7 linked regions of the Canis lupus familiaris genome follow. The protein of the gene in region 1 purifies or fractionates together with the protein of each later gene. This does not show direct contact. Links are inferred from orthologs where the notes say so. Each region holds a gene or a part of one and is shown on either strand. Other genes may lie near its edges. The genes, in order: POLR3B, POLR3K, CRCP, POLR1D, UXT, POLR3C and POLR2H.

Evidence for each region.
Region 2: the proteins of POLR3B (region 1) and POLR3K purify together in Homo sapiens (affinity purification with mass spectrometry; 6 studies listed by BioGRID and IntAct, with this or other methods). This does not show direct contact. The link is inferred for Canis lupus familiaris from reciprocal best matches to the Homo sapiens genes POLR3B and POLR3K.
Region 3: the proteins of POLR3B (region 1) and CRCP purify together in Homo sapiens (affinity purification with mass spectrometry; 5 studies listed by BioGRID and IntAct, with this or other methods). This does not show direct contact. The link is inferred for Canis lupus familiaris from reciprocal best matches to the Homo sapiens genes POLR3B and CRCP.
Region 4: the proteins of POLR3B (region 1) and POLR1D purify together in Homo sapiens (affinity purification with mass spectrometry; 6 studies listed by BioGRID and IntAct, with this or other methods). This does not show direct contact. The link is inferred for Canis lupus familiaris from reciprocal best matches to the Homo sapiens genes POLR3B and POLR1D.
Region 5: the proteins of POLR3B (region 1) and UXT purify together in Homo sapiens (affinity purification with mass spectrometry; 3 studies listed by BioGRID and IntAct, counting the BioPlex papers as one, with this or other methods). This does not show direct contact. The link is inferred for Canis lupus familiaris from reciprocal best matches to the Homo sapiens genes POLR3B and UXT.
Region 6: the proteins of POLR3B (region 1) and POLR3C fractionate together in Homo sapiens (co-fractionation; 4 studies listed by BioGRID and IntAct, with this or other methods). This does not show direct contact. The link is inferred for Canis lupus familiaris from reciprocal best matches to the Homo sapiens genes POLR3B and POLR3C.
Region 7: the proteins of POLR3B (region 1) and POLR2H purify together in Homo sapiens (affinity purification with mass spectrometry; 5 studies listed by BioGRID and IntAct, with this or other methods). This does not show direct contact. The link is inferred for Canis lupus familiaris from reciprocal best matches to the Homo sapiens genes POLR3B and POLR2H.

The regions. Positions count from the first base shown.
Region 1 is NC_049231.1:33,261,546-33,265,718, forward strand, and holds part of POLR3B (DNA-directed RNA polymerase III subunit RPC2), read right to left. Parts: intron 2,251-4,173; coding exon 2,137-2,250; intron 1-2,136. UniProt on the Homo sapiens protein: Catalytic core component of RNA polymerase III (Pol III), a DNA-dependent RNA polymerase which synthesizes small non-coding RNAs using the four ribonucleoside triphosphates as substrates.
Region 2 is NC_049227.1:40,886,140-40,890,915, forward strand, and holds POLR3K (DNA-directed RNA polymerase III subunit RPC10), read left to right. Parts: upstream 1-1,573; 5' UTR 1,574-1,622; coding exon 1,623-1,733; intron 1,734-2,479; coding exon 2,480-2,567; intron 2,568-4,021; coding exon 4,022-4,149; 3' UTR 4,150-4,587; downstream 4,588-4,776. Other genes in the region: SNRNP25 (U11/U12 small nuclear ribonucleoprotein 25 kDa protein), read right to left, coding at 108-213, 453-543, 1,216-1,257. UniProt on the Homo sapiens protein: Core component of RNA polymerase III (Pol III) which synthesizes small non-coding RNAs using the four ribonucleoside triphosphates as substrates. Can mediate Pol I proofreading of the nascent RNA transcript.
Region 3 is NC_049227.1:753,821-757,039, reverse strand, and holds the end of CRCP (DNA-directed RNA polymerase III subunit RPC9), read right to left. Parts: intron 1,279-3,219; coding exon 1,132-1,278; 3' UTR 985-1,131; downstream 1-984. UniProt on the Homo sapiens protein: DNA-dependent RNA polymerase catalyzes the transcription of DNA into RNA using the four ribonucleoside triphosphates as substrates.
Region 4 is NC_049246.1:12,035,009-12,039,181, reverse strand, and holds part of POLR1D (protein POLR1D), read left to right. Parts: intron 1-1,791; coding exon 1,792-1,962; intron 1,963-4,173.
Region 5 is NC_049260.1:41,473,579-41,477,269, reverse strand, and holds the end of UXT (protein UXT), read left to right. Parts: intron 1-2,663; coding exon 2,664-2,727; intron 2,728-2,933; coding exon 2,934-2,987; 3' UTR 2,988-3,032; downstream 3,033-3,691. UniProt on the Homo sapiens protein: Involved in gene transcription regulation. Acts in concert with the corepressor URI1 to regulate androgen receptor AR-mediated transcription. Together with URI1, associates with chromatin to the NKX3-1 promoter region.
Region 6 is NC_049238.1:59,297,734-59,301,906, forward strand, and holds part of POLR3C (DNA-directed RNA polymerase III subunit RPC3), read left to right. Parts: intron 1-1,358; coding exon 1,359-1,439; intron 1,440-1,722; coding exon 1,723-1,774; intron 1,775-2,029; coding exon 2,030-2,090; intron 2,091-2,518; coding exon 2,519-2,669; intron 2,670-3,878; coding exon 3,879-3,980; intron 3,981-4,105; coding exon 4,106-4,155; intron 4,156-4,173. UniProt on the Homo sapiens protein: DNA-dependent RNA polymerase catalyzes the transcription of DNA into RNA using the four ribonucleoside triphosphates as substrates.
Region 7 is NC_049255.1:17,408,529-17,413,318, reverse strand, and holds the start of POLR2H (DNA-directed RNA polymerases I, II, and III subunit RPABC3), read right to left. Parts: upstream 3,310-4,790; 5' UTR 3,148-3,309; coding exon 3,075-3,147; intron 1,709-3,074; coding exon 1,625-1,708; intron 1,542-1,624; coding exon 1,448-1,541; intron 386-1,447; coding exon 302-385; intron 1-301. UniProt on the Homo sapiens protein: DNA-dependent RNA polymerase catalyzes the transcription of DNA into RNA using the four ribonucleoside triphosphates as substrates.

The sequences.
Region 1 (4,173 bases):
GAAGCAGGCTCCTAGCAGGGAGCCTGACGTAGGACTCCATCCCAGGTCTCCAGGATCAGGCCCTGGGCTGAAGTTGGCGCTAAACCGCTGAGCCACCAGGGCTGCCCTGGCTAGCTGATTTTGTTTTGTTTTGTTTAATTTTTATTTATTTATGATAGGCACGCAGTGAGAGAGAGAGGCAGAGACACAGGCAGAGGGAGAAGCAGGCTCCATGCACCGGGAGCCCGACGTGGGACTCGATCCCGGGTCTCCAGGATCGCGCCCTGGGCCAAAGGCAGGCGCCAAACCGCTGCGCCACCCAGGGTTCCCTCAAGCTTGCTTTAGATTTAAAAAGGTAAACAGGGCGTATGCCAACCCATGCTGAAATTTTACCTTTTGTTGTTGCCAAAGTTATATTGGGAGCTCAATTTAAGTTGTAGATTATTCTTTCAAAGACAATCTACGTGTGAAAAACTTACAAATGATCAAAATGAACACACTGTAGTGGAAACTTCATCACTGAGCACAAGGGCTGTCTTTATCTGCTGACAGAATACCTGGGATAGGAGAGGAGTCCCTCCATCTGTGGCCATTGGACAAGTGAAGGTGGCTAGATCACATGTGGGCAGAAACCAAAACTTGGATTAAATCAATCAAAAAAGTGGGCGGACAAATGCACCCCTGGTAGTCTTCCCACAGAATGCACAGAAGTAATAACTCTGTACACAACAAAGTACAAAATAGAAAATAACTGTTTGACACTCATTCCTCTGGAATAGTTTTTGGATGTTCTAACTGAAACGGAAGCTCCAGAGGGACAGCGCTCAAGGGACAGGAACACCTAAACCAAGTTGGGTCTCACTGCTGGGTCACTAGGGTCTTGAGAATCTTGACTTCACTTCCCTCTTCTGCAATTTGGACCACACACAGCATTTCAACAGGTATGTGCATTTACTCAGTTTTAAATGGTCATGGAACTGAGTCATCCATACCTCTCCCTTGGTTTAAAAAAGTAAAGTCAGACACTGACTGCTTCGCCCTGAATCCCTTGCCCTATATGGAACATCGAGCCATGATGAGTGCAAGCAGGCAGGGACCTGGGCAGTTATGGAGCATCCCCCATGGATTGGCACCATATACATTCCGTATCTGAACATCTGACTGTTCCCCACACGCTGTGAAGTGGGCATTACTGTCACCTCTTGACGTATGAGAAAAACTGAAGCTGTGAGAAGCTAAGTGATCTGTCCAAGACTTGTGGTAAAGTTACGAGGCAGAGGTGAGTTCACATCCATGTCTATCTGGCCTCAAGGCCTATGCTCCCTCTCCTGGGAGCAGTTCCTCAGCCTTGGCACGAACCTCATACTGAGCTGGGTCATTTCCTGTGGTGCAGGCTGCCCTGGGCACTGTAGGATCTTCAGCAGCTTTCCTGGCCTCCACCTACCAGGTGCCAGTAGCTCCCTCCCCACACCTCTAGCTGTGACATCCCAAGATGTCAAATGTCCCCTGGGAGGCCAAAGTGCTTGTGGTGGAGAACCAATGCCCTGAAATATGCTTTTCTAGCCAGAAAATGTAGTACCCAGAACACACGAAACTTAGCATTTGTGATTCCCTTCCCAACATTTATACCCAACCATTCATTAACATACAACACTGTGCTTAGAGTGGAGAATACACTGGTGAATGGGGCACACTGGACCCCAGTGCAGGATCTTCTGCTCCAGTAACAGAAGTTTTAATAAATGACAGCTGTGGCTTGGGCTCCCAAACACTGTATGTTTGTGTTTTCTGTGTATACGAGGGAGCATGCAGGTGTATCCATGTGTGTAATGCGGTGGGTCTGTAAGTGTGTCCACATTCTCATATATGAACCTCTTTGAATAAGATGGTCTATGCAGACAGGTACAGTCAAGGACTATATTCAGCGACTACTGACAGGACCAGTGAGGGGTTTGCTCTCAAGCCTCTGGAATGATTCTGAATCAGCCGCTATTGTTTCATGCTAAGCAGACACACAGCATTCCTGTTGATGTCTAACACTCCAAATTTTGACATTTCTAGGAAACCAAAACTTCGCTGAGTCTGCTTATTGCTGCATCTAGGAAATGCAAGATAGACTTGGCTGCATTATAAATTCTGTAACTGCCCTTCTCTTACCTGGTGAGAACAGCTCGTGGCCCCCGGGCTCGGGCATGCATCTTATCCAACACCATGTGCTTCAGTTTCTGATAGTACACCGGGCCAAAATAGATGTATGCTTCTAAGGGCTCGCTGAAAGAAATGTCAGAGTTTTGGGCTAAGAAATCAGGTTTGGGTTAAGAAGAGGTAGCCTTTTCCAGGACCCCTTACTGGCAGGGCCTGGTTTGTTCCAGAACGGGTTCATGAGTGACTGGGAGGGTGATTTTCAGTCTGCATGGAATGAGAAGGCTATATCTGAAAATAGAAACACACCATAGATATATCAGAAGACCTACTGTTTCATTAATAAATGAAAACTCAAAAGGTTGTGAATAAGTACGTACAGGATGGTCCTTCCTTCACCCCTACCCCCCACCCAGGTCCGGCCACCAGGCTTTCTTGCCTGGACCCCCACAGACAGCCCTCTGGCTGCTCTCCCTGCCTCCGTTCCTGTCCCTCAACAATCTGTTTTTCACAAAACAAACCAGAGTGACTCCTAAAATGTAAATCACAGCAAGTTATTCTTCTGCTCTAAATTCCATATGGTTTCCTACCACTCAGAATCCGTATCATCCAAATTTTCTATCACACCATAAGGTTTAATATAATCTGCTTCTTGCCCCTCTCAGACTCACATCCTATTCCCTTTCCCCATTGTTCATTCTGCTCCAGTAATACCAGCCTCTTCATTGCTCTTCAAACATAGCAAGCCTGTCTGCCTCAGGGCCTTTGCACTTACTATTTGTAAAACATTCTTCTACCAGGTATTCACATGGCTGTGAAACATTTCACCCCCAGAGACTTCCTGTTCCCTTATCACCTTATGTAAAGGAGTGCTCCTCCCACCCCACCATCAGTGTGCCCCCACATTGTCTCAACTCTTACCTTGGTTTTACCTTCAGAGCACTTGTCACCACTTGATATTATAACATACATTTATTATTTCCCCGATTATTATAGGTCTTCCCCATCACAGATGAGGAACGCCTCAGGATCAGCACTTTGTCTCCTTGGTCACTACGGCTCTAGCAGCAGTGACCCTGCCTGGCACAGAATTGGTGCTCAGTAAATGTCTGTTAGAACGCAGCTGACTCAATGAATCCTTAGAAAAACTGTAATAAGGGTTATAAAAGACGGTGACTATTTCAGTGCTCTGACAGAAGAAACCTTTCTCCTTTAGTCTGGAGCAACAGCAGGGGTGGGGGGGAGGTTGGTGCCTCTAAGAAAGTTTAACTGCCCCACAACCTCCTCAAAAGAAGGGGAGAAGTTACCATGTGCCACCTGCTCCATATAGCATCAGGGGAGGGAGCCACTGTCCTTCCTATCTTGAGGATGAAGGCACAGGCACAGAGAGTCTGAGGGGTTAATGAGAGCTGGTGAGCAGGGCAGCATGTCTAGGGCTCTCCCAGCCGCGCTGGCCCAGCTCAAACACTGTATGTGCACGTGTGGGCCATGGCACCAAGAAGGAGCGGAAACAGCAAAGGCCACGAGCACCATGCGGAGGCCCCTGCGCCCCTGCCTTACCTCCTAGCACCCTCAGCACCACCAGCACCAGTATCTTGGCCTCCAAGCCGCTGTGCCAGTAAGGGATGGCCAAATTCATGGGGACACAGAAGGGACTGCAGGGCACAAAAGACGGAGTGTCGGGAGACATGACCCCTGTCCCAGCTCTGTCATGCAGTCCTTATGTGACCTCCTTATCCCAAGTTTCCTAGTTGTACAAGGGGGTCAGAGCAAGGTCCTTTCCATCTCTGATCATCAATGATTCCAGTCCTCCTCGGTGTGGCTGCTCCTGGTAGACTCACCTAATGCCATCCATCACCCACTGAAGAGAGGCGTGTGCAATTTTCCCTTCTAGTTATGCTCAAGAATTTGGCAAGGGGTGAAGCTGGTGGGTGAATGTGTTTGCAAGCCCTTTGGGAAAACTTTCAACTCACAAGCTACACTACTATTTCTCAAACTTTGCCCCTGAGACAACTGGCAGACATGAAATACTAGCTAGGGCACAGAGGAAGG
Region 2 (4,776 bases), on another chromosome or scaffold:
AACTGAGGCAGGACTCCCAGGCACCGTGGCACCCACCGCGCCGGGACGCTCAGGACAGGGAACTCCTCGGTGCTCTGTGGCACACATGCAACAGTGGCTCCACTTACCAGCTGATGTGCTGAATGCCCCCTTCACGCTCCTGCCTGAGCTGCACGTATCTCTGAATGGCCTTCTTCAGGTCCAGGACTGTGGCGTTCTGCACCACAACCACAGCTGCGGGAGAAGAGCCATGTTAGGATCCACAGCCACAGCCTAGGACGGCAGGAAAGGAACCAGAAGCTCTGTCCAGACTGTTTTGGACGGAGGCTCAAATTCAGGTGGGGTAGGCTTGTGGTTGCCCCGATGCCCTTCGACGTACATGGCTCTTGAGTTTCCCCTGAGCAGCCATGGCAGCGTCTTGTCTGCGTGACAGCTTGGACTGCAGGGTCCGCAGGGAGAGGGCGAGCACTTACGCATTATCTCTCCATCCATCTTGCACACGCGGACTGTCATCGCTTGGCCATATTCTAGTGCTATCTGGGAATTGACTTCTTCCAAAGTAACCTGCAGAAAGACCAATGGTGGAGGTGGGAGCCTTGGCTGCCTTTGCTATCCCAAACCACAAGACAAGACAAGCGGATAGCATCGGAAAAGCAGTGCCGTATCTTACGAAAGACGAGAGACAAGATTTCTTACTTCTATGCTAGGGTTTCCCGGTTGCACCTACATTTTAAAAGTGTTTAATGTGCAAAGTGCATTAAAGCTCAGGAAAAGAGGAGCGCTGAAACAGGAGAGGGTGAGCGCCAGATCTGGGCTCTGGGGCTGGGAAGGAGGAGGCGCGGTCAGTCCGGGATCCAGGGCGACACCGGGCGGGGGGGGGAGGGGAGGCCGGTGTGCGAGGGTGACCGGGGCGCCCAACCCAGGAGTGAACGTCCTCGGGCGGGGCGCGAATCTCGATGCGGAGTCCCGGGGTGGAGCCGTTCTCCCCACTTGAGCCTCAACTACGGAAACGACCTTAGAACCTGCACCTGCAGCGCAGCCGCGCCCGGGGCGCCCGGGGCGCCGTCGGGGTCCGCCTTGGGACCGGACGACCGTCCGCCTGTCCCTGTCCCCTGCTGCCCCCGCTCGTGCTCGGGTCAGTGAGGTCCTTAAAGGACACGGGAGAATCGAGGCCCGCCGCATCGTCACCTCTGGCGCCCACAGGGGGAGGTCAGGCACCGAGGTCCCGCCGCGCACCTGGATCGGGAGGTCGCAGAGCAGCGGGTCCTGCACCACCATGGCGAGCCCCTCCTGGAACACGTCCACCGCCTCGGAGTGCGGCAGCGCCTCCTCTTCATCCTCCTCGGCCTCGGGCGCCTCGGGCCGCGCCGCCGCCGCCTCCGCCTCGGCCTCGGCCTCCGCCGGCTCCAGGGCGCCCGCCCAGCCCCGCGCTCCGACCGCGCCGCCGCCGCTTCCGGCCGCGAGGGGCGGGGCTGCCACGGGGACCGATGGGAGGCTCGAGGCGGCCTGCCGCAGGGGCTGCTGGGAGCGCCAACCCGGCCCGGCCATTGGGGCGGCGGCGGCCCGGGCCAATGGGAGCTCGCGACGGGCCCGACGCCGGCGCCCCGCGGCCGCAGGGGCTGCCGGGAGCGCGCGGGGCAGCCATGCTGCTCTTCTGTCCGGGCTGCGGGAACGGGCTGATCGTGGAGGAGGGACAGCGCTGCCACCGCTTCGCCTGCAACACCTGCCCCTACGTGCACAACATCACGCGCAAGGTGATCACCCGCCGCCCCCCGCCCAGCAGCCGACGCCCGCCCCGCCGGGGTGCTCCAGCGGCCCCGCCCCCGCCCCCCGCCGTATCGGGAGCGGCCTGGCCTCACCCGGCTCCCGTGGCGGCGTCCCCGGCGGCGGCCCGGGCGGCCTCGTCGGAGCCGTGGCCGGATCAGGCCCGCCCTGTGCGCTGGCGCGGCTGACTGCGGGTCCGGGCCGACGCCGCCAGCCCCCGGGGAGCAGCCCGCGCCGCGCACCGACACGGCCGCCGGGCCTTTGCACGTGCTCCCGCTGCCCTCCCCGCCCCGCCCGCAGCCTCGCCGTGTTTGGGTCGTGCCGAGCAGCGTGGCTCTGGCGGACTCGGGTCACCTGCGGACACGCCTCTACGGGACTTGCGTGCCTGGGGTCGGTGCTGCGGCCCCAACCCGGGCCCTGGACGGAGCCGCGGCGCACCGCCCGCCCCGAGCTGCCCGCGGGAGTTGGGGCCGCCGCCGCGACGCCCGGGACGGAGCCGGGGGCCTGCGCGGAGGGCCCGGGCCGAGCGTGGACGGGGTGGGGTGGGGGGTCCCGGCTGCATCCGCCTCTTGGGCCGGCCCGACGCTGGAGCCCCTGGACCCGGGCCGAGCCCTGCGCCGCGGGTGTAGAGACGCGGCTGCCCAGGATCGTGCAGCCCGCGGGGAGGAGGGCAGTCGGCGGCCGGGTCAGCACCGCGCCCCTACCCGCGGCCTGAACACCTGCCGCCTTTCGCCAGGTCACCAACCGGAAGTACCCGAAGCTGAAAGAAGTGGACGATGTGCTCGGCGGCGCGGCGGCCTGGGAGAACGTGGACTCCACCGCAGGTGAGAGCTGAGGCCGCGCTGCCTTTGAGGAAGGAAGCTCCTAAAAATAGCGTGTGTATTTTCTTCTTTAGTGATTTATTTCTTACACAGGCAATATTGGCATAAACCCCAGAGACGTACAGGTGTGGGTTAGTCTCAAAGCCACAGCCTCTTAACATCGCATGACCTTGGTGGCCTCCCTCCGTTGTGAGAGCGTGAAGGGAGCCCCGCAGCACTTGGCCTCTAGCGTGGTCCTCAAGTGGCGGCTGTGCGGGGAGCAACCGATGGCAGTAATGAAAGTCGGAGCCTAAGGAAGAGTATATGGTCCATTTGTTCAGTTGTGGATCTTTTTTAAAATTAATTATCTCTAAAAAATATTTTATTTATGTATTCATGAGAGACGCAGAGACAGAGACACAGGCAGAGGGAGAAGCAGGCCCCATACAGGAGCCCGATGTGGGACTCGATCCTGGGACCCCCCGGGGTCACACCCTGAGCAGAAGGCAGATGCTCAACCACTGAGCCACCCAGGGATCCCTGGTGTAGATTTTTATTTTTAATTAATTAATTTATTCATTCATTCGTTTGTTTGTTTGTTTATTTATTTATTTATTTATTTATTTATTTTTCTTCCTGGTGTAGATTTTTAAAAGCTGATGGCAGAGAGCATTCACATGTTTATTTCAAGTCTTGTTTCCTGTCTGATAGAGGTAGATGTGACCAGGGAAGGAAAGAAGAGAGCCCTAAACACATCTGTGTTGAGCGGAGGAAGACCCAACTCCTGTTTAGTATTATCTTTTCTCCCCCATAGAAGAACATCTAAATCTGATATGGTAAAATTAGCATTGGCAGAATTTGCCAGGAAAGAAAAGAAGATGATTTTGGTACCTAATGTTCAAAGTGCTGTTTGTGAGTGTTTGAAGGCATTATCAAGCATAGGGTCAGTTTCCCGAACTGAAGTCACTTTGCCTTGAGGTATTTGGCAAAGGTGTGGGTTGTATGGTGAGGTCTTCATAAGAACGGCCTGAGGAACTGCTGCCGAGATGGATCCCTAAATTTAATGGGAAGTGGATTTGTCATCCCCTGGGGGCTCCTCCAGGAAGTTGAGAGGGCTTAGGTGATGGAGATGCACTTGGAAGAATCTGCCCAGAGTGGACCCCATCATGCACATGGTAGCCATAAGCCACATTTCATGTCACATTTCCAGCTAGTCTTCAACCAGATTTGAGAAGAAAAATGGGACTCAGGGAGGGGAGCAGGAGTGTTTTCCAGGGTCACAAGTCCCCTCAGTGTGAGAGTGTAGTGGGAATGATGCCACTAATTACAGCCTTTCAGTCATGGCGCAAGGTGCCCTAGGCAGGGGATGCCAGATGATTGGGGTCGGGGAGGGATTTGGTGTGTTAATACCTACCTACTTCTAGCAGGTGTGTTTGGTCATGAGCATAATGTGGGTCACTTGTTTTTCTCGTTGCCAGAGTCATGTCCTAAATGCGAACATCCTCGTGCCTATTTCATGCAGCTTCAGACTCGCTCTGCAGACGAGCCGATGACCACCTTCTACAAGTGCTGCAATGCTCAGTGTGGACACCGCTGGAGGGACTAGGGCCAGGATCCAGCTGTGTCATTGTCTGCCTACCTTGTTCCCTAGGGTGGATTCACAGCCAGGAGTGTGAACTGTTTGTCCTGAACTGTCTCTGCTGATGTGGCCAAAAGCTAACCCTTTCACGGGAGCTGGTCAGGGTACCAGCCCATCTGGCAGTCAGCGGATGAGCTCATTTATATCCAGGGGGATTGTGTGTGCAGGGAAGGGTATACATAAGTAAGTGTGTTCTTTTTAATATCCTGTTTGTGGATCTTGTAGGTATATTGGCTAATTGACATCTTTTCACCATTATCCTTCTTAAATATGCACTCTGATTGCACAACTAATAAAGTAAAATGTTATAATGTAGGACATTAGATGTATCTAAGTATTTAACTTAATTGTAAACTTATCACTATCTATTCTGAATATTTAATTAAAATGGAAAGTCTAATACTGCTTTTCTAGTGTTTATTTTTTTTTAATTTTTTGCCAAGAAGTATATTTTATTTTCGTTAATCATACAAATAATTTGCTATAATATCCCAGGGTAAACTGCAGAGTTTGGCAGTCTGACTGGGGCGGGGTGGGGGCTGGGGGGCGGCCCTCAGAGACCTGCAGGCTGGCAGCCTTCAGCGTGGAGTGCCT
Region 3 (3,219 bases), on another chromosome or scaffold:
TTTATTTATTTTTTTAAAAAGATTTATTTTTATTTATTTATGATATACAGAGAGAGAGAGAGAGAGAGAGAGAGAGAGAGAGAGAGAGAGGCAGAGACACAGGAGGAGGGAGAAGCAGGCTCCATGCAGGGAGCCCGACATGGGACTCAATCCCAGGACTTCAGGATTGCACCCTGGGCCAAAGGCAGGCGTGAAACCACTGAGCCACCCAGGGATCCCCCCTATCCTAATATTTTAAATTGAAAAACTGATGCAACCTTGCAATAGCCAACAAATTCAAATTCTTATTAGTCAACCTCTAGTTCTTCATATTCTGTCCCTATCTGTGCCCTTTCAAAAGATGCAATCTGTCCACTGTGCAAGTGAGGCTCACCTGGCCTCAAGAGGCAGTGTGTACCCAGGGCTCTTGTCGGTGGTGAGTAAGGCAGCCAACGCTGAACTTCTTTGTCACTGTCACTCAGTCAGTCAGCAGTGGTTTTTCAACTAGAATGGGCTGGTGCCCTAACACTGAAGAATAAATAGTGAGCTGGGAAACAATACCCGTGCCAAGAGAGGAAAAGAGCCTTCAGACCTGAGGAAGGCTGGACAGGCCAGTCTTCTCTTATCTTTGATGTGCTGGAGGAAAAGATTCCTCTAAGGTGAGCCAAGTTCAGTGGCTCATTCTAACCTAGAGCAACTTTTTGCTGCTCTGGGAGTTTCAGGCCATCTAACTGGATTCTTCTAACTCAGCTCTCACCCCAACAATGCTCAGTGCCCCTGCTTGGGAAGCTCCTAGGGAAGCAGATGAAACTAATTAGGACATAGCCAATCAAAGGCAACGCAAGCATTTTACCAGCTGTGCACAGGGCCCTGCCCACAACTATGGCAAAGGCCACAGAAGTATTTTTACCACAGAGGGTTGCACATTGTCCTCTTTGACTCTGTCCTCCTCTCTGCCCTGACAGCCTGTCTTCACCAGGTTTTATCTCCCAGAGGCACATGTACTTCTTCTTAGCTTATTTTTGTGTTTTATCTGACCAACCATGAAATCATTGGGATAAAGGGTAAAACCAAATGAAAAATCCTCTGGATGTCTGGGAAATGGCTGCTGGGCTTTTCAGCTTCATGAGGCAGCTGGCTGGCTGTGCTCTTCTATGCTGGGTCCTCTTCATCCACTGTCATGTCATTCATGTTTTTCTTCTGTTCAGCCTCTGGCCCCGCAGGCAGAATGCTCGTGACGGTATGGAGGAGGGCTTCGATTTGCTCCTCTGTGAGCCGTTCTTCACTCTCTTCAACCATCTGCAGAAGAAAACCTCCAAGGGTTACAGATGAGCCAACAGGCGGTGTCCAGGCTGCCCTCCCCACCCATGCTGTTTCTAGTCCACTGGCCTCTGGCACGCTGGCTCCAGAGCCTCCTCAGGTCTCTGTGTTCTCTCCACCCTGGCTCCGAGGGAGGGAGAAGCCAGCTCCAATTCCTATGCAACTGTTCCAAATGGGCCAGGGCAAAAAGCAAGTTGCAGGTTAGCATTTTTCTTCAAAGAAATAGAAAACCTTAATGGTTCTATACCCATCCACATGCACACTTGAATATGCTTTGTATGCAAAGAAAACTCACTTCTGGGGAGTGAAATAGCATTTTATATACTTTTGTAGTTCACAACAAACACAACTGTAACTTATAAACTATATCAACAACCCATCTGACAATTGCCCACTGTGTGCCAAATTTTTTTTTTTCTCATCCCCACTCCCACTGCCACTAACAGCTCTTTAGGGAGCTCACATGTCCGAGTGCACATAGCACTTCCTATCTGTTATTTCTTTTAGCCCTCACAACAATCCTGGCAAAAGACAGAACGAGCACCTCAAGTTGGGCCTGCCCAACACTGACACCTACAATCAAACACACACCATGTGGCCTTGATCACCTCCTAGGAATGTGAAGCAAGAGTGATGGCTGGGAAACAATCCCCTGCTGCCTCACTAAATTAGATCCACTTAAAGCCCAGTTTGATGTGTCCTGGAAATCTACACACTGATAATCCACAATTATGAGCCAGTTTTCTTAGCTGTACCTCTAGTTCTCGAATATATTAATGAATACAAATATAGTCAACAATGTTTTTAAGAGCAATACACAGGCAGTCAAATTACTTACCCATGTTCACTTAGGGGCACCAGCCACCTATCATAAACAGCTAAAGGTGTCCAGGGTTCTGTTCTGTGGTATTTCCCACAGCAACCTCTGAGATCTGGTGACTAGAACCAAGAGGAGTTCCAGAAAGAAATCCCAGCAGATTTAAATAAAACAGGATAACAGGCTAGACTTCAAACCCTGAAGAGGGTTTTGGTCTGACCGCCTCCCTTTACAGAAGCTCATCAAGTCAGGTGATGTGTCTAAGATCACATCACGAACTCCTGGGAAAACATCAGTCTCTTCATTCATCTAGGGTACAAAAATGTTTCTACAACCAGAGAATCATCCTGAGTGTTCTAGGGTGGAGAAGACCCTGAGTGAACCAACGGGGCTACTTCTCATCATGCTGTGAAATAAAACGACCATTTCCTAAAGATTCAAAAGCTCCATAAAGTATAACCTCTACTGAACAAGAAATAATCCTCAAAAACCCATTTTTAAAACCAGACATGCTGGGACGCCTGGGTGGCTCAGTGGTTGAGCATCTGCCTTTGGCCCAGGGCATGATCCTGGAGTCACGGGATTGAGTCCCACATCGGGCTCCCTGCAAGGAACCTGCTTCTCCCTCTGCCTATGTCTCTGCCTCTCTCTCTCTCTAATAAATAAATAAAATCTTAAAAAAATAAATAAATAAAACCAGACATGCAAAATTACAGTGTGTAAAAGGAAGTAATCTAACAGAGACTGTCTCCAAAATATGAAGGAGTTGGAAAGGGGTATATCCAATTTGATTATTTAACCCTAAGAAAAGATGATCTCCATTTGAGAAAGGAATGTCTCCAAATTTATAAATTGCCATGTGCAGTTGATTATGAACTGCTTCCTGACTCAGGGGAAGCAGGAAAGGAGATTTAGACTAGTCTTAGAACACTGACAACTTCCCACCAGTATTTGTGCAGGGGCTTTCCCAGAATCACTGCCACCAGAGCTTCTCAAGCATGTGGAAGTCAGGACAATTTATAGATGAGTAAGTGTAGGCTCAGCATTGTAAAGAAAACCTGATCTGGGTCTTACAGCAAGTAGGGAAAGGTCTTTGCCTTTGG
Region 4 (4,173 bases), on another chromosome or scaffold:
CATAAGAAGATATTTCCCAAGAGTGCTGAGCTTCCATTTCTCTGCTTGTCTTAGAGTTTCACTTCGTGGCTCTGGAGGTTCTCGTGGCTTAGCACACTATTAGGAATGGTTCTACGTGGAGGCAGAATGACATTTGTAGTGTTAAATCCTATTACTGTATATATGTAAATATGTAGGCTTATAGAGAGCATACAAGAAGTTCAATGCTTATTCAATAATCATTTTATTATTTTATAGGGAAATTTTAAAACATTTGAAACTTAGGTTTTCAATTTTTTATGTTTAAGGTAATTAACCTTTTGGCAAATATATTAAAATTTTATCCATACTAAATGCAATCACATATTGTTTTTTAATACTTTAGATTATTAGAACACAATTTATGAGGGTGCCTGGGTGGCTCAGTTGGTTGAGCATCTGCCTTCAGCTCAGGGCCCTAGGATATGATCTTGGGGTCCTAGGAGAGATCCCCATGTCAGGCTCCCCACTCAACGGGGATTCTACTTCTCCCTATGCCCCTCTCCTCAGCTCCTCCTCTCATGCTCTCTCTCCCTCTCAAACAAATAAATTCTTTTAAAAATACATAACTTATGTAAAAATCTTTATTTTAAAAGTATAATGATTTTGCTGAAATCAGGGCAAGAAAATAAATTTTATGGAATAAATACATATGAATGTTTGTCTTTCTGTATCTTTCTGTATTCATCAATATTACCAACTCATAAACAGTTCTCACTGTGTGCAGTAAGTTAATACCGTCACCTCTGGTATTTTGCTGACTTCCAGTCATTTTAAAAAACAGCTTTACACATGTTTTTTATTTTTATTGTAATGAAGGTATATTTATCATGGTAGGAGGAATGAATTTTTTATTTAATAGTTTTTAGCTTATTTTAATACTTGTAAATATTAAGAAATATGGTCTGTGGGACTTTATTTGTCCTTTGGTGGGCCTAAGAGAAAAGAGTGGTAGTAACATCTACTAATATGGAGCAAACAGGAAATCAGGAAAGTCCTGCAGAGAAGGTAACACGTGATCTGGATGTCTGGTGACAAGTATGTGGCTGGACTGCAGAGCAGTTTAGACAGAGAATGTGGCCTCCACCGTGCATGTAATGGCAGATAGAATGCTGGGGACACCTAGCCCAACTGGGCTCCTGGACTTGCAAAAAGCTAAGACCCAAGAATGTGGTAATCCCACGGGGCACATATTGTCTGGTGAGGTCTTGCAGACATAGGCCAGTAAGCCACCGCCGCAGTCTCCATTAGTATGCTCAGACTCCTAACGCTGAGTACTTTTATTTCAGAGTGCACTTAGCATCTCTACTAAGAGATGGAGTTTAGAGAATGTGAAAGGAGCAGAGTGAAGTGGGCTTTACTCATTCGCATAATGACTCAAAAGAATGATACCAGAAGCCGAACAAAGGTCATTTATCTCTGGTAGTCCACAAAGAGAAAAGTGTTTTCTAGATATGAAAGCTTGCTGAGATTTTCAAGCAGCCCTAGAGGATGAAAGACCTCCATCCAGACTGGCCAGATTCCAGCTGTCCCTCATTCTTAGCACTGACTTGGCGTCTTCAGTCCGCGTCTAGGCTTTCCCTTTATGGCCTGATACTTGATGCTACCGGGGCTGCGGTGCCAGGGCACTGCTGTTCCTGTCTGGCCACCACAGAAGATGGCCCAAGTTGCCCAGGGCCATTGGCTTATTTCATCGCATTTCTTTGCCCTGTGACACACGATCTCACTGTTGTGTCTTCACCATCCTTGTCTTGTGTTTTCCATCTCTCCCAGCATCTCCTCCTCCAGCTACAGATACAGCAGTTTTACTTGTAAATCTGTGCATCGTTGTCCTGTCCTACTCACACCCAGAATCCATTCATTGACCAGATCTCAACTGAGGACCTACCATGTGCCAGACGTAGGGAAAACTAGGGTGAAGAGGACCAGTCTACTGAGCTCTAGGTCAGATATATTGAGGCTCCCTCTCTACGTTCCCCTAAGTAATCCAATATTTCTTTTTCTTTCTTTCTTCTTCTTCTTTTTTTTTTTAGATTTATTTTTTTAGTGGAGAGATGGAGCCAGAGAGCACAAGCAAGGGGAATGAATGGCAGAGGGAGAGGGAGAAGTGGGGCCCCTGACCTGAGCCTAAGGCAGACGCTTAACTGACTGAGCCACCCAGGCACCCTCAATATTTATTTCTAATATATACATACAGGTCTTTATTTGATATACAGGGCCTACTATAAGCCTCTCCAGGGAAAGGCCTTGCTCACCATATAAATCATCATGCAGAGCATGTAAGAGAGATTGGCCAAATTTAACATCATCTTGAGAATTAACTTCTTGTGCTTTCATCTTTTATCTATAAATAATTATTTTCATATCCCAAATGATCTCAATGTCACTCTTGAGTTTTACCTTTAAAAACCTTTCCCACAATTTGAATTTTCTTACCTTTCTGTATAGCTGATAGGCGAACCCAGACAATTTGATGTTTTCTGAAATACAGATGGCCTAAATTTCTTCATCTGTGTCTATGATCAAATTACTGAATAATACAGAACCCATACTTTGTCATATGGTTTCTCCCAATCCACATGGTCACTCCACTGCTAATTACTGCTGAGTGGTTATGAGCCTGTAGGCAGATGTCCAGCAGTGATCTGAGTCATCTGTCCCTGGTTTTTTTTTTTTTAATCAGAATGTTCTGTGGTCTGACATCAAATCCTTACTTAAGATCAAGTAAATTGTTCCATTTTTTTTTCTTCAAAACATCACTCCATGGAAAGACATTGAGTTTTTTTAAAATTTTGCCCAGTGCCCTGCTGTATGTGGATGGCTCGGGGATGAACTGGTGGCCTGCAGCATGGATGATGATACGCTGGGTCTGGCAGGGGCCTCCTGGTCAGCAGCAGCCTGTCATTGCACTCCTTTGTGCCCAATTTCCAAGTCAGTGCTTGTCACCAAGTTATACTTGTTTAAACACAAGACCCTCAGCCTGTCTTCCATGACTTAATTGCCATATTTGAACCGCTTTTCCCATCCATGATGTGACAGATACTGTACATTTAGTTGGTCAAAGGTAACTTTTTTTTAGTAATTTTTTTTAAAGATTTTATTTATTTATTCATGACAGACACAGAGAGAAGGCAGAGACATAGGCAGAGGGAGAAGCAGGCTCCTCACAGGGAGCCCGATGTGGGAACTGATCCCAAAACTGCGGGATCATGCCCTGAGCCAAAGGCTGATGCTCAGCCGCTGAGCCACCCAGGTGTCCCATCTTTTCTTTCTTCTTCCTTTCTTCCTTCTTCCTTCCTTCCTTCCTTCCTTCCTTCCTTCCTTCAAGAAGGAAGGCCTGGACGGTATTTCAGGGAGTGGGGATGGGGAGGGCGTGCTTCGGTAGGGATTTAGGGTGGCTTTATTTAGGTTCTTTCTTCTTTTTTGTTTCGTTCTTTGTGGTGTTCTTTTTCTTTCTTGCTTCTTTCTTTCTTTCTTTCTTTCACTATAATTATACATATAGAAAAGTGCACAAATCCTAAGCATGCAGCCTGATAAGTAGTCAAGTGAATGTACCTATGAAACCAGCACTTCAATCACAAAACGGAACATTAGCACCACAGCAGCTGCCTTGTACTAATTCATCAGACTCTGTCTTTTTTCCCCTCTGTGTCTTTTTTGTACAACTATTTGACGTGTAGCTTTTCTGATTTGATTCTTTGAAAGATCTCATTTTCTCATGTTCTCCATTATTTAATTTGCCAATTCTCAATTTGTGGTTTGATTTCAGGTACATTGGTTTTCATGCTACCCTTTCTGTATACTGATGGAGCCAGTTAGCTCTCGGTTGATTTCTGTGAGTAAAAAGAAACATAAGACCCAGATGACTCCAAACTAATTTGCTTGACTCTGGAATTTAAGATGATTTTGACCAGATTTGCATTCCCACTTGGGTTCTATTTCAGCTGCTATTATCATCCGTTAACATTCCTTCAGCATGTACCAGCTGGCTTATGGAATGAACAGGCAGGCCTCAGGGAGCCCGGAGAGGATGGAAAAATGGGTGGAGACGATCCTACACATGTGAATCCTTGAAAACTGATGTTAGTGGGTTCCTGTGCCCAGAAAACAGTCTGCATAGTGAGCTGGCTTTCTTGGACTTCTTGTTTGCACTCA
Region 5 (3,691 bases), on another chromosome or scaffold:
GTAGGTCACAGGTTGGCAGTGCTACAGAGAACAGCCCGGAATGGAGAGGAGAAACATTCCCCAGAAAAAATTTTTTATGACTTTGTATGATGACAAATGGTAATTAGTTTTACTGTGGTGATCGTTTGACAGTGTATCCAAATATCTGATCATTATATTATACCCCTGAAACTAAGGTTACATGTCAATTATACTTTAGTAATTAAAAAAAGGAGGAGTGCCTGGATGGCTCAGTTGGTCAAGCCGCCAACTCTTCTGCTCAGCTCTTGATCTAGGCTCAGGGTCCTGGGATCAAGCCCCATGTTGGGCTGGGGGGGGGGGTCTGTGCTCAGCGGGGAGTCTGCTTGAGGTTTCTCTGTCCCTTTCTGTCACTGCCCTCCCTCTCTCTCTCAAATAAATAAATCTTTTAAAAAAATTTTTAAATAGGAAAAGAAACATTGCCTAGGATGGAGCAGTTGCAATTTTAAACAGAATGCTTGATTGGCTGTAAGGTGTGAAAGTTTTGGGCTGAACAACTGGAAGGATGGAGTTGCCATTATCTGAGAGGGAGAAGATAGAGGAGGAGCAGATTTGCAGAGGAGGATCAGGAGTTCAACCTAGGACCAGTTAAGTATGAGGTGCTTATTAAACAGTGAAGTGGAGTTTTTGAAGAAGGAGTTAAAACTCCCAAGGCTGGAGAAGGGTCTGAACTGAAAATATAAATCTGGAAGATACCAATATCTTGGTATTCAAGATATGGGTTCATAGTGCTGTATTTTTTTCCATTTTAACATTCTATGTTGTTACCTTCTACTCTCCTTACCATATCTAATTTGCCTTAAATTGATTTCTGCTTGAACAGATAGCTGAGCACAACAATGTCTGCCTCCCTTAGGACAGTATCAAGACCCTGTGTAAACTAGCCCCTTCCTACCTCTGGGACCTTTTCTTGGACCACTTTCCTTCCACCAGTCACTTAATTCCTAACACCCTGACTTCCTGACTGGTCCTCCAAAAGCTCCTTCCTGCCTTGTGGCCTTTTTGGGGAAAAGACCCTCCTACTGTTTAACTCTTACTCATTCTCATTCCTCAGAAGGGCCTTCCTTAGCCCTTTGTATCAATTAGGATTCTGTTGGCTGAGTCTGATCCCAATCAGCTTAGAAGATAGAAGGAATTGGGGTGCCTGGGTGGCTCAGTTCAGCGACTGCCTTCAGCTCAGGTCATGATCCCAGGTTCCTGGAATTGAGCCCCGCAATTCCAAGGGCTCTGCTCAACTGGGAGCCTGCTTCTCCCTCTCCTTGCTGCTCCCCCTGCTTGTGTTCTCTCTCTCTCTTTCTGTCAAATAAATAAATAAAATCTTTAAAAAAAAAAAGAAGATATAAGGAATTGACCAGTATATGTAACTCAGCAGTCAAGGGCCAGAGTGGTTTGAGGCAACTCCAGCTTTCCAGTTGCTTAGGCCTTGGCATCTTCCTTAAGTCCTCTCTCTCACACCTGACATTCAACCATTTGGTAAATCCTGTTGACTCTACCTTCAAAATATATTACAAATGCAGTCACTAATCATCACCTCAGCTGCTGACACTGCAGTCTAAGTCTCCATCTCTCACCTGGGCTATTACAGTAGCCTTCCCACTGGACTTCCTGCTTCCACACTAGCTCTCCTTATCCTCAGTCCTCCACACAGCAGCCAGATGAATCCTCTTAAACCCTGGTCAGTGGGGCACCTAGGTGGCTCGGTCAGTTAAGCGGTTAAGCGTCCGATTTCAGCTCAAGTCATGATCTCAGCAACCTGGGATTGAGCCCCACATCAGGGGTTATACCCTTAGTAGGGAGTCTGCTTCTCCCTCTCCCTGTAGCCGGACAGGAGCCCTCCCTCTCCTCATGCACACACATGTGCTCTCTCTCTCTCTCTCAAAATATTTTTTAAAGAACCCTTGTCATTTCACATTCCTTTTCTGATCACAAGCCTCCCTTGGCTCCAATCTCACGTAGAGTAAATGTCAAGAGTCCTCACCATGGCCTTGTGAGTTTTACATGATCTGCCTCCCCACCTTATCTCTCTGACCTCACCTCCTACAGTTTCCCCTTCCCTTATTCTTCAGCCATGCCAGCCACTTTGCTGTGCTTCAAACATGCCAGGTACACTCCTACCTCATCATTTTTCCATGTGTTGGGCCTTGTGTCTGGAACATTCATCTTCCATCTATCCTCATGATCATCTTCTTTAACTCTTTATGCAAATGCTTCTCGCACAGCCATTTGTAAGTGCTCTCATTAGAATTGCAGCCCCCCACTCCTGCACTCATCCTCTCTTATCATTTAACTTTTTCATTTTACTTATAACCCTCTGAAATACTCTATATATTATTCCATAATTTGTCCCTCTTAACGAGAACTTGAGCTCCATAAGGCTGAGATTTTTGTCTGTTGTGTTTGCTGTTATCTCCCAGTACCTAAAATTGCCTGGCATAGAGTAGGGATTCAATCAATTTCTTTGAATCAGTGCAGCCCAGATGGTGGCCAGGCATCTCTGCATAGGAGCAGGTCAAGTAGTAACATGTCCTACCACCTGCCATGTGGAAATCATCCAGGACATAGGCAGTTCTTGAAGTGATGAGGAAAAATCATCTTCATGAGCCTAAGTGTGGCCCACTCGGCCCTTTCTTGTTTCTTTTCTCCAGGCTCAGCGACAGCCTCACCAAGGACTCCATGAATATCAAGGCCCATATCCACATGTTGCTAGAGGTGAGAGTACCTCACCCCATTCCCAGACTCTGTCTCCAAATGTATTCAGGGTGGTGTGACCCGACGAAGGGAGAGAGCCAGGGATGGGAAGGACCATTTTCCTCTCTAAGCAGGAACCAGGCTGGCTCTGAGGGAGGGGAGGTCAGAGCAAGCCTGGGCTGAGGCCTAGACAATCTCTGTTCAATCTCTTCTATCCTTTTTTTCAGGGGCTTAGAGAACTACAAGGCCTGCAGAATTTCCCGGAGACACCTCACTATTGACTTCTTCCCGCCTCCGTAGACATTAAAGAGCCTGAATGCCTTTGAGTCACATGGCCCTTCTTTCCCCACCTCAACCCTTTGCTGTTTGCTAAGGTGCCCTGTTTCTAAAGCACAAAGTTACCAGGAACCCCAGAGAGCCAGTCTCTATGTGGAACCTTTAAAGCACCCCTGAAGTCCCGCCTCCAGCCTGTTGCCTGGCAGCATTTGCCACTTGACTTTCTGCACTGCCCTCTTTTCTGTCGCCTTGGAAACCTGGGCCTCCCACCTGACCCTTTTATCTTCCTGGACGTAACTGTCTTAATCATAGAGAATGGGCTGATTCAGGGTGGAGGTTTGTTCCCAAGACAATCAGCCTTTCATTCCTGGCCCTAAAGTTTGCCCCTCTCCCCCACCCTAATCATTACTGGGGTACCTTAGATTACACCCACGCCCGTCTCATTCCAACCTTGGCCTCACCCGGCTTCTAACTAATTTCAGCTTCCACCAATGGGCGCAGAGCCTGATCCCGCCCTACCCCGGCCGGCCCCTATTTTAGGTTGAGTCTAGCTTCCGCCAATCATTGCAGAGCCAGGTTCCGCCCCCTTATAACTGGCTGAGGCTCAACGCTGACCTCCTCGTAGGCTTTAGTTTCCGCCACTCAACGCTCCTTTGCGTGCCTGGCCGCTGTCCAACCCTATCTCTGCTCTGTCCTAAACTCGTCTTTT
Region 6 (4,173 bases), on another chromosome or scaffold:
CTAGCCAAAGTACAGCTATTCCCAGTTGTTCTAAGAATCCACTATCTGGAATCTGAGAACCTTTGTTGGTACTCAGAACATCATTTGGCTTCTTGTATTGCTTTTGTTCAGTATACTAGTTTTATGTATCTTAAATTTGTTTTTAGTATATCTGTTTCTTAAAATATAAATATTTAATGTACCAAATACATTTTATTTATATTCTATTTCATAATTATATTTATCCATATTATAGTTATATTTTCAGTTCATATTATTTTTAAAATTTTAAACTTATAACAAAAATTTCAGGTTTTTTTTCTTTCAATACAGTAATTATGTGACTTCTATTCAAACAATAGAAATGTATAATTTTTTCAAGTTGTAGCCCCCTATATTTTTAGAAATGGCGTTCAAGTTCTATATCTTATTGTGGGTGGTAGTTACAGGGATATACATAATTGTCAACACTCATCAAACTGAACCTCTAAAATCTGGGCTTGTTATTATATGTAACATACCTCAGTTTAAATATATATATATATAGTTAGGACACCTGGGTGGCTCAGCAGTTAAGCATCTGCCTTCTGCTCAGGGAGTGATCCTGGAGTCCCGGGATCGAGTCCCACATCGGGCTCCCTACATGGAGCCTGCTTCTCCCTCTGCCTGTGTCTCTGCCTCTCTATCTCTCTGTGTCTCTCATGAATAAATAAATAAAATCTTAAAAAAAAAAGTTTAATAAATAAATATGTATATAGTTTCATGTGATCCCAGCCACAGGGATTCTTGTTAATAGTTTGATACCTAACTTTATTCAGACCTTTTTTTTATGTATAGTCTCACATTTAAATAGATATATGTATTTTTTTCAGCAAAAAAAAAAAAAAGAATTCTACATACTGTTCTAAAGTTGTTTTTGTGTGTGTGTGTGTGTGTGTTTTTTTTTTGTTTTTTAAGAGAGAGATTTTATTTATTTATTCATGAGAGAGGGCTTCCCATGGGCTTCCCACTGGGAGCCCAGTGCAGGACTTGCTCTCAGAACCCTGGGATCATGACCTGAGCTGAAGGCAGATGCTCAACCACTGAGCCACCCAGGCACCCCTAAAATTGCCTTTTTCATACAACAGTGTATCTAAGCCACCTTTTTCATGTCAGCATATATAGATCTTATTTTTTATGACAGCATCATGTTCCACTTAGTAGCCATGTTGTACTTTATTTTAATCAATTCCTTATTATTGTACATTTGGATTGTTTCTAGTTTTTTTACTCTTACAAACAATGCTACTATGTATTTATGTATTAAACATCTATATTTCAACAAAGTCAGCAATTCTAAGTTCCCAAGCCCATTTTTACCTTCTCTTTTTGCTCCATAGATCTTCAGATCTCTGCCTGTTGGCTATAACATCTCTAAACAAGTTCTTGATCAGTATCTCACTCTACTGGCAGATGATCCAGTAAGTGTTTTGCTTCCTTTTTGGGGTTTTGTTTTTTTTGTTTTGTTTTGTATTCCTTTTTTTCCTGCTGTGTTTACAATTTATTTCTGCCACTGAAACCTGGTATCCTTCTGTAGCCTCATTTTCTACCTAGCCCAGCTCAGACAGTTTCTCTACCATCAGCTGATAGGAAGGCTATCTGCTACAGACTTTTGGCCATATTTGCTCCTTTGGAAACAGAATCACTGGACTTGCCATCCAGTTAACTCTCTCTCTTTCTCTCTCTCTGTGTTTTTTCCAATAGCTAGAGTTTGTTGGAAAGTCTGGCGACAGTGGTGGAGGAATGTATGTCATCAGTATCCTTACCAGTTATTTCCTTATAGTCAGGCAGCCTGAACTAAGAAGAAGAATGGTGACTTATGAAATAAAAGATTGGATAATATTTAGTATACTAAGTAAGTCAGAAAATTGAACTCATACATTGATGATAAAGAAGTAAAAAGGACTTTGAATTAACCGAATTTTAGTTAAGCAAAACCCTGTTTTAGGAATAAAACTAAGATCACAGTGACCAAACCAAAACATTACTGACCATAACCCTCTACATGAAGACCTGCATAAAGCTCTAGGATCCCTAGCCACAGCCACTCTGGAGTCTGTCGTGCAGGAGAGGTAAGAGTGTCACCCTGCTCAGGGTTGGGGCCATTTTTCCACACTTCATTTGGATAAGCAATTTAATCATTATGTAAGCACCCCATGTAGATACATCTTGGTGCATCTTGCCCGTTTTTCCACTGGACTGCTACAGATCCCATCCACTACTGCTCTACTACTTAACTCCCAATGGTGCCAATTAACCAGCCTTCCTAAAGCCTTTACTTATAAATGCAGGAACTCGGGTACTCAAATGAGTCAGCAGTTGGTGACTCTTTTATGATTAGCAGTACCATCATTAATCTGTGGAGTTGTGAAAGAAATCTCTGACCACTGTTCTTCTCTCTGGTCCTGGCTCCATACATGGAAACAGAGCAACTGCCATCTGTGACTAGGAGCTAAAACTAATCTATGTCATGCCATTTGCTTTCTTTATTCCTTTCCAGGTTTGGGTCTCGTTGTGCCAGAATATTCCGTCTAGTTTTGCAAAAGAAACACCTGGAGCAGAAGCAGGTAGAAGACTTTGCAATGATTCCAGCAAAGGAGGCAAAGGATATGCTTTATAAGATGCTCTCAGGAAATTTCATATCACTCCAGGTAACCAGTAGCATAACAATCACCAACCAGTGGAGCTGGTCAAGGGTGAAAGAAACTTCTGAGGCAAACCTCCTGAACCTCAAACAAACTCTCACTTCAGCTCTAAGACAGAAAAAAAGATTAACAGAGACCTAGCAAGCACTTGAAGAGAATAGGGAAGCCTTTTTTTTTTTTTTTTTAATTTTTATTTATTTATGATAGTCACAGAGAGAGAGAGAGAGAGAGGCAGAGACATAGGCAGAGGGGGAGAAGCAGGCTCCATGCACCGGAAGCCCGATGTGGGATTCGATCCCAGGTCTCCAGGATCGCGCCCTGGGCCAAAGGCAGGCGCCAAACCGCTGCGCCACCCAGGGATCCCCCTAGAATAGGGAAGCTTTAAGTGGCCTTAGTTAAATAGAGGCACCTCAAGAAATCACCCCAGAATTCCCTTTTTCCTTAGCTCCTACTCCTTGTGATTTGTCCTTTCCCCAGGTGTTAAATCTATTATATAGATTAAATCTGCCAACATCATCTATTGGGTCCGCAAAGCCAGGTAGTATGCCCTATGAGGAAATAGACAGAATGGATTTGGGAGACAGAATCACAGTTCTGCTGCTGACCCAGTTACACTGAGCAAATTATCTACCGTCATTTTTTCTTATCAATACAATGGTGATGGGTGGTGGTAATAAAAATAATAGTTTGTCCTAAAGATCAAATACAATCTACATGGCACATAAGAGTTGCTCAGTAAGAGCAGCCTGGGTGGCTCAGCGGTTTAGCGCTTCCTTCGGCCCAGGGCATGATCCTGGAGACCCAGGATTGAGTCCCATGTCGGGCTTCAAAGCATGGAGCCTGCTTCTCCCCCTGCCTGTGTCTCTGCCTCTCTCTCTCTCTCTCTCTCTCTCTCTCTCTCTCTCTGTGTGTGTGTGTGTATGTGTGTGTGTGTGTGTGTGTGTGTGTGTGTGTTTCTCATGAATAAACAAATAAAATCTTAAAAAAAAAAAAAAAGGTTGCTCAGTAAATGTTAATTGCCTTCTCCTTCCTCCCCACTGAGGATGCTGACAGTCAAGTAGAAAAAGCTCTGCATGTGGCTGATTTTGCTATAAACACAGATGCTGAATGACTGGGGAAGAGGAAAGGTTGAGTTGCTCTGGATGGAACAAGTGTTTACCTTGCCATTTTTTGAAGAACAGTGTGATTTCTCTTTTTCTTTCTGTGGACAAATAGGAAATTCCCAAAACCCCAGACCATGCCCCATCCAGGACCTTCTATTTATATACTGTGAACATCCTATCAGCTGCCCGAATGTTGCTGCACAGGTGCTACAAGGTAATTTCTTTGGACCTTCTCCCCATTTCCTCCACACAGAAGAGTCTAACTCTAATGCCCCAGTTAGCCGGTACAAGAGCTACTTAAATAGAACCATGTGCATTTCTTGTCTTCTCTTCCCTCAGAGCATAGCCAACTTGATAGAAAGGAGACAATTTGAAACCAAAGAGAACAAGTGAGTAGCATTTTCAGT
Region 7 (4,790 bases), on another chromosome or scaffold:
TGCTGCATTTAGTTCCTGGGGAAGCAACCTTCCTTTGCACTTCCCATATCAAGATCATCAGTTTCTCATTTGGACCCCTGAGCCCTGAGGTCCTGACAAAGGGCCAAGCGAGCAGCCTACATTTCGGATTGGAAACTGTTCCAGAACAGACAGTTTCCTTCTAAGTCCTACCTAGGTCTGAGGTGCTTGGGGAGAGACCCAACCCAGGAAACATGAAGCATGGCCCAAATTTTCAGAGCAGAGCTCAGATTATCTGAATAGGGCTGGGGGACAAGGGTTCTCACAAGACTATGGAACTTACAGACGCGTTGCTGCTTCAGTAGAAGTTTCGTCGCCCTCAATTCTGTATACTTTCCCATACATTACATACTCAAACTGGTCAGCCCTGTGGAACAGTAGGAGCAAGGTTATTCTTCAAAGTAGTAAACAAAAGTAAGAAGCTCTTTAAAAATGGTTAACTGGAAAAAAAAAATGGTTAACTGGTAACTAAGTGTCACCATTCTAACAGACGTTTTCCAAACACAATGCCATTTAGTCCTCCCAGCAACCATATGAGCAAGGTGTGATCATCTGCACTTTACTGATGGGGAAACTGAGGCTGCAAGAGGTTAAAGCCATTCAACAAAGAACTGATAGGGCTGAGATTTGAACTCAGTAGAGCTCCAAAGCCCTTCCATCACACCAAACTCTCTCCCAAGACGCAAGGCTCACATAGCCTGGGTCACTTGATGGTCATCTCCTTAGCCATCGATAAGGTACAACCCACAAGCATGTAATTGCTGCCCTGGAAAAACACCTGGTTGTTAGAATTTTTTTTTTTTAAGATTTTATTTATTTATTCATGAGAGAGAGAGGCAGAGACACAGGCAGAGGGAGAAGCAGGCCCCATGCAGGGAGCCCAACCCAGGACTCGATCCCAGGTCCCCAGGACCAAGCCCTGGGCTGAAGGCAGCGCTAAACCACTGAGCCATGAGTCATCCAGGCTACCTGGTTGTTTGAATTCTTTTTTTTTTTTTTTAAGATTTTATTTATTTATTTATTTATTTATTTATTTATTTATTTATTTATGAGAGACACAGAGAGAGAGAGAAAGAGAGAGAGAAAAAGAGGCAGAGACACAGGCAGAGGGAGAAGCGGAGGGAGAAGCAGGCTCCATGCAGGGAGCCCGACACGGGACTCAATCCCGGGACTCCAGGATCATGCCCTGGGCCGAAGGGACTCCAGGATCATGCCCTGGGCCGAAGGCAGGCGCTTAAACCGCTGAGCCACCTGGGGATCCCCATTGAATTCTTAAGTGCAGCAATTTCCTTAAGGTTGCTCAGATACTACTGATAATCATTTATTCCACAAATTAAATAAGGGTTTTTTCCTATACCACTTATCTACTTAGTCCTCAAGCGTATTTCAAGTACTCCTTTCCTGAGAGGGAAGTACTTCACTTCCTCACCTGGAAGGCCTATCATCTGTGGGGTTGTATTCACCGTCATCCAGGGTACCATCTTCATATAATGTACTGGCTATGACCAACCGGAACTTGTCACCTGAAAATCATGGCAATACCAGAGGCTAAAGAACAGCTGAAATGTCAAAAAGCCTTCTGCTATTGTCTGTGTTCAATACTTACCCAAGTCTACAGGGTAAATCTGAATGTTTACATCTAAGATCAGGTCCATTTTGAAAGATTCACTCTCACAATGTAGCCGAGACACTGGAGGGAGGTAGAGAAAGAGTGGCATAGGTAATTGCCAGGCTCTGCAGACCCTGCAGACCCCACTTTGGGGGATTACATGCAATTGAGCACTCATTCGAACCCCATCTGCATCCACTAGCCTCACGTCTGCTCTCAAAGAAGTGCAGACTCAATGAGAACCAGATATGCCAGAAGGAAAGGAGTGAAAACTATGGCAAGTGGACAGAATCCCAGAAAACAACCAAAGGTCCCTCTGGCAATAAATAATATCCAGGTTCTAGGCCTGCCTAGGTGATTAACAAACAACCTGACTTTAGACAAGTTATTCATTCATCCAAAGGTTTTGTCTTTTTTTTTTTTTTATAAAGATTTTATTTATTTATTCATGAGAGACACAGAGAGAGAGACAGAGACAAAGGCAGAGGGAGAAGCAGGCTCCCTGCAGGGAGCCCGACTCGGGACTCCAGGATCACGCCCTGGGCCAAAGGCAGGTGCTCAACCGCTGAGCCACCCAGGGATCCCCCCAAAGGTTTTGTCTCAGGGCGCCTGGGTGGCCCAGTTGTTTATCTGCCTTCAGTCCAGGTCGTGATCCGGGGTCCTGGGATGGAGCCCCGCATCCGGCTCCTTGTTCAAGCAGGGAGTCTGCTTGTCTCTCTTTCTCTCCCTGCCCCTCCTCCTCACTCATACGCTCTCACTCTGCTTTCTCTATCAAATAAATAAATCTTAAAAAAAAAAAAAAAAAAGTTTTGTCTTTCTGTGCCAGCTGCTGTGCTGAGTGGACTATCAGGACTGTTAAGACCTGGTGTTTGTCTTGAAGAACATCTCAGTCTCTGGACAAAAGAAGAGACCCCCAAGGAGGCCCAGTCTGATCAACGGCAGAATAAAGAGCTGTATGGCAAGCAGCAATCCTAATTCAGAGCGGATGTCACAAAGGGCTAGAGATTCTCAGGACAATACAAGAATACAGGCTCTGAAGTCGGACTAGTCACTGTGCAGCCTTGGGTAGCTTACTTAACTTCTCGGGGCAAAATGGGTAAGACACCAACTACTTCATGGAGGCTCCTGAGAGAACTGGGCAGGACGAAGTGTGTGTAAGGTGCACGCTACAGCGCCCAGCAGAGTGGGGAGCGACTGGAAGATGCACGGGGGTGCACCAGCACCATGAGAACGGGCCACCCAGGCACCGGGCCAGCCTGTGTGGAGCCAGGCGGAGTTCGGGAGACGCCGAGTTCCCATCGATCCAAGGTCTCCTGATGGGGATTCCTGAGTCAGGAACTGCCGGCAGGGGCGGGCCACGCGGCGTGGGTGGACCAGGGGCCCACAGGCGTGTCCCCGAGGAGGTTACCCCCTGACTCGGCCGCCCCTACGTCTACCTCCACCTTACCTCGGTCAAACTTCTTGCCCTCCGGGTCAATGTCTTTCACATCGAAAATATCCTCAAACAGGATGCCCGCCATGGTGAGGTGGCCACGAGAGTACGAGAGGGGCCGGGAGCGCGACCACGCCTAGGGGTACGCGCTCCCCCTCGCGTGGAGTAAAGGAGAGAAGGAGAGCGCGCGCCCAGAGAGCGGCCGCAGAGCCCTAGAAACACGCATGCGCGCGGGCAGGCAGCGCCGCCGCCACTTCCGCCGCCTGGGCCTCGGGGCTCGCGGACTTCCGCCCCGAACGACGCCTTCCGAGAGGCCTCGGGAGTGGGGGGCGGGACTCGGGGCCGGGTGGCTCCGCCCCGGGGCGGGGACCCGGTTAGTTCCACCTCCAGCCGAGGCGGCGCGGCGTCTCGCTGTACGCGGAGGCTCGGCTGCGCCCTCTTGAGAGGCCGGGTCGGGACGCCTGGAATGCGGGCGGGCCTACCCCAGCCCGGGACCTTGATCCTTGGCCCGGAGAAGCCCGGCGCAAACCTTCCCCTGCTGGTCTGCGTGCCCGCCGAGGGCACAGTCCACGCGGAGGGCGGACGGGGCGGAACTCCGCCCCCAGCGCGCTGACCCTGCGGGGCGCAGAGCCCAGTCCCCACAGCTGGCACCGAGGCTTCCTAGCCGGGCCCGGGCTGGACCGGGCTGGACCGGGCTGGACCGGCTTGGCCCTGCTGGATGTCACCCGAGCCGGCTCCGTCCCGTTTGGGAATTTGCCATGATGTCACTATGGGGAAGAGGAAAGCCTGCGCTCGTCCCTTCCCCTGGTACAGCACCCCCCTACCACTGCCCTCTTCCCCGGGGCCCCACTCTCTTCCACTCCGCCTCTTCAGCCCGGCTGACGGCTGGCGTTTAACCCCATCACACAGCGCTGCCCCTGCAGCTTGGTACTACCTGCCCCCCCCCCCCCGCCTTCTCCCTTGGACGCTGATCTACGTGCCCCTTCAGGCTGGCACCGTCCGCTCCCACGGATACGAGCCCCCCCTCCTCTTGGGTGCCGCTCCTCTCACACTGCCCCTTCCTGGGCACCGCCTCTGCCTCCCGCGGGCCCCTCCATCCTGGTACTGCGTCCTCCCGCACACTGCCCGTGTCCTGGGCACCCGCCTCTCCCCTAACACGCTCTCTCCTACATTGTCCATCCACCCTGTGCTCACCCCACCCTCTGCTCCATCCTTCTCCAGACCCTGAGAGAGAACACAGATCCCCAGGTGGCGGCGAGACGTCAGCAGCTACTCGAGTTTCTCCTTGGGCCCCGCCAGGGAAAAACGACCTCTGTACCCCCACGCCCGCCTTCCAGGAGCCTCCTCGCCAGCACCTAGACATCTCTCCCCTCGGGCCTCACCCCTTCACCTTTCCTCCCTGTCTCCACCCCGTACACCCCGCAGGCCAGGTTGCTCCAGGTGTGACTTCCTAGAAGAGGAACCCTGGAGAAGAGGAGGAGGGAAGAGGATGAGAGACACGGGAGGGTCTCAGTTCCGAGCATCACGTCCTCACCCCCGCCTTCTGGGCCTAGCGTCCCCCTCCGAGTCCCTCCAGCTTTGCTTCTCACCCTCGACGGAGCAGAGAGGGGCCTTGCGAGGCCCGTCTGAGCCGCTGCCCGCCCCCCCACCCCCACCCCCAGAAGCAAGAGAAGGCGTCACTCCTGAGAGATTGAGCCCAAAGGGTGTGATTTAGACGGCTTTGCCGCCCCG